Linked DNA regions of Arabidopsis thaliana. The protein of the gene in region 3 interacts with the protein of the main gene of each other region in a pairwise test. Each region holds a gene or a part of one and is shown on either strand. Other genes may lie near its edges.

The links.
Region 1: the proteins of FASS (region 3) and IAA28 interact in binary tests that used the Arabidopsis thaliana proteins (3 or more experiments, as listed by UniProt).
Region 2: the proteins of FASS (region 3) and IAA12 interact in binary tests that used the Arabidopsis thaliana proteins (3 or more experiments, as listed by UniProt).

What each region holds. Positions count from the first base shown.
Region 1 is NC_003076.8:9,031,271-9,035,026, reverse strand, and holds the start of IAA28 (indole-3-acetic acid inducible 28), read right to left. Parts: upstream 1,824-3,756; 5' UTR 1,548-1,823; coding exon 1,420-1,547; intron 1,229-1,419; coding exon 917-1,228; intron 654-916; coding exon 589-653; intron 496-588; coding exon 473-495; 3' UTR 1-472. UniProt on the Arabidopsis thaliana protein: Aux/IAA proteins are short-lived transcriptional factors that function as repressors of early auxin response genes at low auxin concentrations.
Region 2 is NC_003070.9:1,238,695-1,242,450, forward strand, and holds IAA12 (AUX/IAA transcriptional regulator family protein), read left to right. Parts: upstream 1-1,599; 5' UTR 1,600-1,887; coding exon 1,888-2,090; intron 2,091-2,362; coding exon 2,363-2,649; coding exon of another isoform or gene 2,650-2,681; exon of another isoform or gene 2,682-2,730; coding exon 2,731-2,848; exon of another isoform or gene 2,849-2,921; coding exon 2,922-2,983; intron 2,984-3,066; coding exon 3,067-3,116; 3' UTR 3,117-3,463; downstream 3,464-3,756. Other genes in the region: AT1G04540 (Calcium-dependent lipid-binding (CaLB domain) family protein), read left to right, coding at 1-367.
Region 3 is NC_003076.8:6,172,921-6,176,676, forward strand, and holds the start of FASS (tonneau 2 (TON2)), read left to right. Parts: upstream 1-2,051; 5' UTR 2,052-2,233; coding exon 2,234-2,375; intron 2,376-2,627; coding exon 2,628-2,719; intron 2,720-2,874; coding exon 2,875-2,937; intron 2,938-3,014; coding exon 3,015-3,113; intron 3,114-3,198; coding exon 3,199-3,357; intron 3,358-3,589; coding exon 3,590-3,661; intron 3,662-3,756. Other genes in the region: EMB269 (GTP1/OBG family protein), read right to left, coding at 1-228, 798-1,903. UniProt on the Arabidopsis thaliana protein: Probable regulatory subunit of type 2A protein phosphatase involved in the control of the dynamic organization of the cortical cytoskeleton.

The DNA.
Region 1 (3,756 bases), 2.9 Mb from region 3:
GTGTGTTACAAAACAACAATTTTTTTTGGATGGTGTTATAAAACTCGAACCCACCAAACTTGGATAGCCTCTTGTATCTATTTCTCTATTATTTCGGGTAATCTTTACTCATACATAGTAAACAGGCTCTCTGGATTTTTACCTCTCTGAAAAAAACATAAAATGAGTCGGTTTGATTTCGCTAATTAAATACCATTTTCCCTACTAAAAAACGAAACGAAGGCATGAATCATATCAGGCATTGTAATCAACTTACGTGCTTACACTATTTTTATACACACGATAACATACTAACCCCCGATTTCTTAAACGAACAGCATATTTACAACCAAAACAAGAAATAACATAGCAAGCAAAAACCTAGTACATAAGTGAAAAAGAAAACCAGTAAATCAAAGCCAAACCCCATTAGTTTCCACAAAAATTACATTAAAAACAAACCATCGAACTGATGATTTTGGCCAACCTCTCTCTATTCCTTGCCATGTTTTCTAGCTGTGAAAAAATAAATAAATATATAAGTTAATTTCAAGGCAGTAATTAAGTGATGAGATGTATGAAAAAGTTTCGTAAGAATTGTAATCTTACGTGAGAGTGAGAAGGCGTGGGAGGTCTTTAAAACATGCAACCTCTTTACAGTAGATACAAACATCCTAACAAATAAAGTAAACTATATCATTAATATGTCCAATGATTCAAATTATTATCAGATAAATATCCAAAAATATGACCTTTAAAGGAAAATAATAATCTGATGAGAAATGGCCAAACTCTTTTTAGGAACTCATACTAAAAATATTTGTTAAATTCGACAAAAACAAAAGTAGATAGATATAAAATGAATTTTTGATAAAGTAAGTTCATATTCAGTTCCAGAAAAAAAAATGGAATTAGTTTTGTTTGATTTAAAACTTACTCCCAAGGAACATCCCCGACCAGAACTTTATCTCCTTCAGTGTCTTCGTAGACCAAAGTGTATTGTCTGTTTAGATCCCACGAATCTTTCTTAGAGAAGAGTTGGTCAACGGCATGTGAAAGCTGTTGGTAGTTGTTATAAGCTGAAAGGTTGACTTTTCTTCCTATTGGAACTCCTTCCATGTTGATCTTAACGTACAATTCCTTCTCTTCATCACTCTCCTTCTTCTTCATCTCCTCCTTTAGTTGTGCCGTTAGGTTTCTCCGGGATGATCTCACCGGCGGCCATCCCACCACTGGAGCTACCTCAACCCTGTTTTAGCCATATCTAGTTATAACATATACACAAATACTTTTTGATAACTAGATACCGAAACCCAAACTAATCTCCGAAAACTGTAGAATTACCAGGATTTTGTTTTTTATTTTTATTTTATTATCATATAAGACATCTACAATGAACAAGAATGATTCAAATCATTCATGAGAAGAGATTAAGAGAACCTGTTATTGGAAAGGAATGATGTTTCTTTGGTCGAGCTTTTTTGTTTAGATCCATTGATGTTGTTGTTGGAAGTGAATTGGTGACAAGGAGGAGCTAGCCTTAGCTCCAATCTCTTTTCTTCTTCCATTTTTCTAAGTTTGTGTTGTGTTTTTGGTGTTGGGGAGTATTATTATATGGGTGGTTGGCAAGGAACTACAATCCCAATCTTTTTATAAAAGTAGTCTCTTTATATTTTCTAATGAAAAGAGATTTTATTTTGAATTAATAACCACCTAACAGATCCTACTTGTATGGTTTCCGTATGTCAAAAATGCGTTTACATACGTGTATGATTCTACGAATGTGATGCGGATTGATGGGAGACACACATATATTATTTACAACGATTACTATTATATAAAGAGAATAAATTTATATGATGATCATTAGAAAAATCCAATAGACTAATTTAGAGTTATAGGTAGGTGGTTATCAAATTAAAAACCCACTTAGAATATATGGTAACATGGTTCATAGCCGTGTGGGGTCTCATACTACCGAATAACTCTGATTAATTACAAAACATATGATTCCAAAAATCTTAGATGTAATCACCAAATTATTACGCTGTCTAGACGTGTCCATTATCATTCTAATTCGATCCAAAAAGATGTGGGTAACCGAAAATTACCAAAGAACTAAAATGCTACCATAGCACCAAAGTCAAAATGAATATCCAACACATACACATAAACCAATTTAAACAAAGAGATATATAAATAACAGTGATTAGTAATACCCCTTTATTAGCTAGTGACATGAATTAAAATCATATTGAAAAATGAAAATGAATGCTATTCTTACTTAGAAAATGAAAACTATAATCATATAAACTATGTACAATTGCTTCTCTTATGCATGACATTTGTAACACATGTATTTTAGAAAATTCATGTATGTCACCGTGACTCATGAGACAAAGAAATGTATCATGCATGGTTGTGTCATCATGTGATCATCAACATAGTCATCATATGATCATCTCCACACCCATTCTTGGAGAGTAGAGGCCGACATAGAAAAGGAAACAAGAAAGAGGAAAGAGATTCCTAGGCATGCTTAAATGAGTACCTACCAATAAAAGGAGTAAAGTAGTAGGTTTTCGTTTACTAACCTTCTTCTGTTTATTTTTATTTGATATATAAGTACTGCAAATATTAATTGTATGTATACTTAGAATTCCACTACAAATTCTCTCTTTTTTCACGAAAAGTCCACTACCAACTTGGTTTTTGTTACTCTAATTTGGCCTCCATAATGTTTGTCCTTTTTTTCAAGTTACATAATCGATTGATTTACGGAAATTGCCAACCCATGAAAAGTCATCTTAAACATAATCAAGTATAACTTTAGAAATATATCAAGATGGTTTAAGGATCTTTCAACTCAATCTTAAAAAAACTTAATAGCTATGGCATATAATCAAATAAGCTGTAATTTGATTAGTGAAAATAACTAAAATGGGTCAACGCTCAAAATACTACAAATAAAACTGTTGAAATAGACACATAAAATTTGTGGCTATTTCACAGTTTCTTATAGTTGAATTGGTTTATACTTATCTTGTGTCTTTTGTCTAGAAATTTGTGGCAATCTAGAAATTCTCTTTTGTCTTTTGACCTTTTTTCATGGGTCATCACCTATTTGTTTTATTCTTTTTAACTCGGGGCAAAACAATTTCTTCAGCCGATTTATATTAATTAACCGAGAGTCCGAGACCAATATACCATGACTAATCATCACACTAATAATGACAGAGCTTATAGTGTAATTTTTACTTGATTCTGACCCTGCACATACGTGTATATAAATATAATGGAATACATTTTTAGTTAAAAATATTATAGTGTATAAATTATAATATGCATAGAACAGTGTACAGTGTTAATTATGATAAAATAGCTAACTTTTTTTATTAATTTATATTATTTATATTTTATTTATATTTTGCATGGTAAATATATTGTTAGATTTGTTTGGATTTGCTGAATATATAGAGATATTTGGAAAATCTGTGTATTTTTGTTAGTTTGATGTATATATAAATTGATTGTTTTTGTTTGAAATTTGATCAATTAGATGATATAATGTAAATTTAACTCCGCGGTACACCGTTGGTCGATTTTTTGTAACTAAAAATTCAAATTTTAAGATATAGTTGTTTTGTAAATATTGTTTATTTTGTTTAGTGTTTAAGATTATATAATTATGTTATAGTTATTAATTCTAAGATTTTACTCGTAGATTATCGTCCCGTATTAATATCAACCCAAACTCGTTCCACCATATAACTTCAT
Region 2 (3,756 bases), on a different chromosome or scaffold from region 3:
CGATGAATCTAGCATCGAAGGATTGCGATCAAAACTCGAGAGATGGCGAACAGAGCTTCCACCGTTGTACGACATAGGATCAAGCCATATAAGTAGCACTGATTACGATGGCGCGAGCGTTCCAGCTGCAACTGCCGGGGGAGGAATGAGTTCAAGACGGAAAACTCCGACGACGAAAAAGCATAACCGCCGTCACACAGATGGAGGTAATGGACTTTTCTCGTGTTTTAGTAAGATTTGTGGTGTGGAATGCAGTTTCGTATGCGGTGGTGGTGGTGGGCCGATGGTCTCAGAAGGATCTACTAAGAAAGGTGGAGCCGGACGTGTGCAACGCACATATTCCGCTGACGATCTGAGCTTTGTGTGATCTTTATTTTATTGGTCTTATATTAACTTTTATTTTTTTTGGAAAACTATATTTTTTAAGGATCTGAGCTGATGAATTAATCAAATAGTAAACAAAAATTAATTTATTAATGTTGTGTTAATAAATCATTTATTTTTGTGTATTCCTCTTCTTCTTCCTTATTTTTAAAAAATTAAAAAATGTTCTTCTTATAATATAGTGTTTAATAGAAAGTGAGCTCACACAACAAAATTAGAAAACTGTGAATGAATGTAAGAGAGTGAGTGGAATAAAAAAAATATAAAAATGAAATCTAAGAGTGAGTGAACAAATGTTGGTATTGTAGACAATGGTGACTAAAATTAAAAAGAAACAAAATGATATAAACATTAATCTAAAAAAAACTAAAATAAATATACAAATTCTGCATTTCTAACTATACTTTCATGTATTATGTATACTTATTTGATTCATACATGATATAACCGGTTATTTAGTTTATTTTCTATCAAATCCATCAATTAGAGCATGAAATCTATGTACTCCTTGATAATGATTTTGATCAAAAGTGTAATTTCCACAAACCAATTGCGCCTGCAAAAGTTTTCAAAGGATCATCAAACATAATGATGAATATCTCATCACCACGATTTTATAATAATGCATCTTTTCCCACCATTTTTTTTCCCTCACTTTCTTTTATAATCTTGTTCGACAACAATCATGGTCTAAGGAAAAAGTTGAAAATATATATTATCTTAGTTATTAGAAAAGAAAGATAATCAAATGGTCAATATGCAAATGGCATATGACCATAAACGAGTTTGCTAGTATAAAGAATGATGGCCAACCTGTTAAAGAGAGACTAAAATTAGGTCTAAAATCTAGGAGCAATGTAACCAATACATAGTATATGAAATATAAAAGTTAATTTAGATTTTTTGATTAGCCCAAATTAAAGAAAAATGGTATTTAAAACAGAGACTCTTCATCCTAAAGGCTAAAGCAATACAATTTTTGGTTAAGAAAAGAAAAAAACCACAAGCGGAAAAGAAAACAAAAAAGAACTATATTATGATGCAACAGCAACACAAAGCAAAACCTTGCACACACACATACAACTGTAAACAAGTTTCTTGGGACTCTCTATTTTCTCTTGCTGCTTGAACCAAACACAACAACGATATCCCAACGAGAGCACAACAGGTTTGATTATGTCGGAAGACAAGTTTTGAGAGAAAACAAACAATATTTTATAACAAAGGAGAAGACTTTTGGTTAGAAAAAATTGGTATGGCCATTACAAGACATATGGGTCCCAATTCTCATCACTCTCTCCACCACCAAAATCCTCCTCTCTCTCTCTCTCTTTTACTCTGTTTTCATCATCTCTTTCTCTCGTCTCTCTCAAACCCTAAATACACTCTTTCTCTTCTTGTTGTCTCCATTCTCTCTGTGTCATCAAGCTTCTTTTTTGTGTGGGTTATTTGAAAGACACTTTCTCTGCTGGTATCATTGGAGTCTAGGGTTTTGTTATTGACATGCGTGGTGTGTCAGAATTGGAGGTGGGGAAGAGTAATCTTCCGGCGGAGAGTGAGCTGGAATTGGGATTAGGGCTCAGCCTCGGTGGTGGCGCGTGGAAAGAGCGTGGGAGGATTCTTACTGCTAAGGATTTTCCTTCCGTTGGGTCTAAACGCTCTGCTGAATCTTCCTCTCACCAAGGAGCTTCTCCTCCTCGTTCAAGGTTCGTCCTTTTTCTTATTAAGAAAGCTCAAATCTTGTGATGTGAGTGTTATGCCATCTCAGGACAGAATTGTGTAGGTGCTTTTGTTTTAGTTTACCCTGAATAAGAGTTAGGTATCTATCTCCATTGATGAGCTTGTGCTTGTCCTGTGCTATAGATTTCTCTATGGAGTCATGCAAATGCTAAGATTTGTTCATTTTAATGTCTGTTTAGATGATTACATCTGAATTTCGAGAGCCATTGAGTGGAAATTTCTTGGTTTGTTGTGGCAGTCAAGTGGTAGGATGGCCACCAATTGGGTTACACAGGATGAACAGTTTGGTTAATAACCAAGCTATGAAGGCAGCAAGAGCGGAAGAAGGAGACGGGGAGAAGAAAGTTGTGAAGAATGATGAGCTCAAAGATGTGTCAATGAAGGTGAATCCGAAAGTTCAGGGCTTAGGGTTTGTTAAGGTGAATATGGATGGAGTTGGTATAGGCAGAAAAGTGGATATGAGAGCTCATTCGTCTTACGAAAACTTGGCTCAGACGCTTGAGGAAATGTTCTTTGGAATGACAGGTCTGTACTGTTTTCAAATGCGTACACTATAAACCCGATGTTTTCTATGAATCTACTGATAGTTTCTGTTTTATCTATCAGGTACTACTTGTCGAGAAAAGGTTAAACCTTTAAGGCTTTTAGATGGATCATCAGACTTTGTACTCACTTATGAAGATAAGGAAGGGGATTGGATGCTTGTTGGAGATGTTCCATGGAGGTAAGATTCGGATATTAAGCAGTATTGCAGTAGTTCAAAACCTGATTAGTCTCTTTTCTCTCTTTTTGTTTAGAATGTTTATCAACTCGGTGAAAAGGCTTCGGATCATGGGAACCTCAGAAGCTAGTGGACTAGGTAAGTTTTAAAGATCATCTTCTGGTTTCTTGATTTCTCGTCTTGACTAATGAAAAAGACTGATTGAATCATTTTTAATGCAGCTCCAAGACGTCAAGAGCAGAAGGATAGACAAAGAAACAACCCTGTTTAGCTTCCCTTCCAAAGCTGGCATTGTTTATGTATTGTTTGAGGTTTGCAATTTACTCGATACTTTTTGAAGAAAGTATTTTGGAGAATATGGATAAAAGCATGCAGAAGCTTAGATATGATTTGAATCCGGTTTTCGGATATGGTTTTGCTTAGGTCATTCAATTCGTAGTTTTCCAGTTTGTTTCTTCTTTGGCTGTGTACCAATTATCTATGTTCTGTGAGAGAAAGCTCTTGTTTATTTGTTCTCTCAGATTGTAAATAGTTGAAGTTATCTAATTAATGTGATAAGAGTTATGTTTATGATTCCAAAGAATGAATATTTGTTCCTTAATATGGTTTGTTGTTTTCTGTCTTTTTGAAGTTTCCATTGACTCGAGTCAAAACGTTTTGCAGAAACAGAGAAGAGTGTGTCATTAAAAAAAACAGAGAAGATGTTTATTTTTTTTGGTCGAAGAGAAGATGTTTCTAAGACCATCAAAATCATATATTGATGATTGATGACAAGAAAAGTTTTGACCATCAAAAGTTTTGTCCTTAATTGTTCTTAAATTCACACAAAATACGTTAAGAGTTATCTTTTAAAACTGCAAACTACTTTAAATTGATAAACTTTGAAAAGTAAAGATTTTATTCTTAATCTG
Region 3 (3,756 bases):
CCGAAGCCTCTGTGCGCTCCTTCGAGCAAACCAGGAAGATCTGCGACCACCATTGTTGAATCGTAATCAAATGAAACCACACCTAGATTGGGAAGTAATGTGGTGAATGGGTAATTTGCTATGGTTGGCTGTGCGGCACTTATCACGCTCAACAATGTGCTTTTTCCTGCATTTGGAGCACCCACAATACCTACGTCTGCGACCAGTTTCAGTTCTAAGTCCAGCCACCTATAGGCATATGTAAAGTTATAATTGGGAATCAGAGCTTCCCAGAAAAAAAAAAATATATATATGAACCACATATTACATTTCCTAAAGGCAAACACAGTCTCATAATTCTCCAACAGCATGATAGTGTTGGACTCTAAGAGTACCCAATCCAGTCTATAGATAACCCAGAAACTCATATCCGTTCATAATACTCTAACATACCTCTATCAACATGAGCTTTTCTACTAGCAGAGTCAGCAATGGAAGACTTTCAAAAGTCCTGTACCTGTATCTATATATAAATTCTTGTATAGTGAGCATTACTTACAAGATGAGATTTCCTCTGGAGATTAACCGAGATACTAAACCTAACCCAGATGATCGAATGAAGGAAGCAGGGCTCACATGTAAACATCAAGCTTTACCAAACAAAAGAAATACAAATCAACTGTTCCTAAACCAAAATGAAATTTTTACATCTTTGAACAATCTAGCTTCTGTGATTAGTTTATCCTATCAAAGCTTGTAACCATCATCAACACACTAAACTAAAACCAGCTCAAAAATGAAGAAAAATACACACTTACATTTCAGGACCTTCTTCGCCATTCTCAGCAATCCTAGGAACTTTATTCATCCCCGACTTAAACGAAGCATTCCCTCGTCCACCTCTCCCTCCAGGCAACAACAACGCCCTCTGTCCCGGATGCAACAACTCCAAAAGCACCTCCTTCTCCTCCCCTTCCTCACCCTCCACCTCACTCCCAACCTCTCTAGCCTGTCTAACCACCGTCCCAGGAGCCACTTTCACCACGACATTATCACCTTTAGCTCCACTCTGCATCTTCCCTCTCCCATGTTCCCCACGTCCCGCCCTGAAATGCACACTCTTGCGAAATGGCAACAACGAATTCATAGACCCATCAACCTCTACATACACATTCCCTCCTCTCCCTCCATCTCCACCTGAAGGTCCTCCAAAAGGAACAAACTTTTCTCTCCTAAACGCCACCACACCATTCCCTCCATCTCCGGCTCTAACATATATCTTCGCTCTATCGAAACACCTCATCACAGCCGGAACTCCTTTCTCCTTCACCCCAATTTCATCCTCTTCCTCTTCACCGGAGAAACATAACACTTCTCCATCCTTCAATTCAGACCCTTCACTATCATCTTTCTCCGCATCAGTTTCATCACCATACTCAAACACTTCGTCTTCCCAATCTTCATCATCTTCATCAATTGATCTTGAACTCCCTTCAAACACATCTAATCTTCTGTAATTTCCCCAAATATCATCATCATCATAACTCTTCACCTCCTTTTCTTTCTCTTCTTCCTCAATTTCCCTCAAAGTTTCAATCTTTTCCTCAACCCTCGCGACATTGGACTCAGATAGCTTCACTTCTTCAGAAACTTTTAAATAAGATGAAGACAAAAGAGAGACATCATAGTAATCTTCCCTAGGAGGAAGACGTGTATAAGTAGTGGCTTCGCCGCCGGCATCAGAAACTGGCTGGAGTTTATCACCGCCTCGAGATTTAAGCTCGACTTCGCGTTGAAGCTTCGTTTTTCTAGGGCTTCGGGTTCTTCCCGAGACTTTGTCAGGTTTAGCGAAAATCTTCCTCGTCCTACTGGGTCGGGCTAGAGCTTGAGGAGTGAAGAAACAGTTAATGGATATGGAAGCCATTTGTTTCTCTGATAAATCTTAACGGGACTTTATGTGATATAAACAACATTTTGTACTAAATATTGATTTTTCAAAGTAAAGGGGGTTACAATCAAAAGTAGTATAAAATTGAGGACTTATATAGCAAACAAGGAGAAACTTTTATTACCTTTGAAGTTTGAAGCTTGGATCTCGCAGATTGAGCTCCAGAGAGGGAGAGAGAGAGAAAGGGGGCGCTTTAGGGTTTCTGCAGTTCCTGGTTCAGTCTCACCATTCTATTTAAGGGTTTTAATCTCTCTGCTTCATTTGGTGACTAACATTTATCGTCGAGGGTTGTGACGATCTCCGAGAATGTATAGCGGATCTAGCGATGGTGAGAGTCATGATACATCGACGCAGAGGAAGATCCCACCGGCGTCTTCGATGCTTTGGGTTAGAAATCTACGACGATATATTGGTTCCGGTGCCGGATTAGGATCCGAAGCTCTAATGGGTAATGTTCCTTTTGCCGGTTGTTGCGTTTTGGTTGTTGGGACAGTCTGTAGTTTTTTTATCTTTTAGCTTGTGATGATGTCATAAATTCTGTAAAGTTTGAATCTTTGATCACATTTTAGAGCTCGTTGTGTTTTCAATATGAGTAAAGTTCCTGAATTTACATGTCTATGTATTGAAAGACTATGTTTAACTGTGATAGAGTCTTTGGTTTTGCTTAGTTTGATAAGGGTTTGTGTTCATTGTTTTGTAGAGCTTGAGACGAAGAGAATCTTGCTCGAGATTTTTAAAGAGAAGCAACAGAAAAGCCAAGAAGCAGGCACAATACCGAGTTTCTACAAGAAGGCATGTCCCTTACTCTGTATAAAATGATTGCCTTTGCATTTCAAGGCACTACTCGGTTAAAATATTGCATTGTGTTATACACTTCATAGAAGTTGTTTTTCCTTTTAAGTATTCGTGTTAGGCAATAAAATTTTGTTCCTTTACTCTTGGTTCAGAAACCAGAAGAAGGATCTATTAGTCAAAGGGTCCAGAAGCTTGCAAAGTACCGTTTCTTGAAGGTATTTCGCCTGCTCTTAATTATTCAGAAGAAGTTTAATGTTTTTGCTCACTTCGATATGTTGATTAATTCCCACAGAAACAATCGGATCTTTTGTTAAACGCTGATGATTTGGCTGCTATGTGGGTTTGTTTGAGAGAAAATTGTGTGATTGATGATGCCACTGGTGCTGAAAAGGTACGTGCATCTTTTATAGGATTTTTCTCTGGAGCTGAAACTATGTTAACAATGATGCTGATATTGCGCTGTCTTTTTCATGTAGATGAACTATGAAGACTTCTGTCACATTGCCTCTGTATGCACTGAACAAATCGGTCCCAAATGTCGCCGGTTTTTTAGCCCATCCAATTTCATGAAATTTGAGAAGGATGAGGCTGGGAGGATTGCCATTTTACCGTTTTATCTTTATGTGATGCGCACGGTGAGTATCCTTATGTTTTTATAATGTCATGTCTTTGGGTATCATTTTTGTTCATTGGCTGAATATCATCTGTCGCCATAAGCTAAATATTCTTTGGTACTGTGTTTGAGTGACACCAGCTTTGCTAGTTTTGGATGTTTGTTTTTCAAGTTTTTTTAATTTGGCGTGTCTTTTACTTAAACAACTATAGTTAATACTTGTTTTGATTAATCATATGTTCAACACTATTCAGGTGTCGCTTACACAAGCTAGGATTGATATGAGTGAGCTTGACGAAGACTCTGATGGTTTCCTTCATTCTGATGTAAGTACTCAAGTGGCTCTAAAGCTTTAACTTTAGAATTGGCTCAAGATTCTTTAGGTAGTCGTCCTACCTGCAAATGTCAAATGGTGTTGACT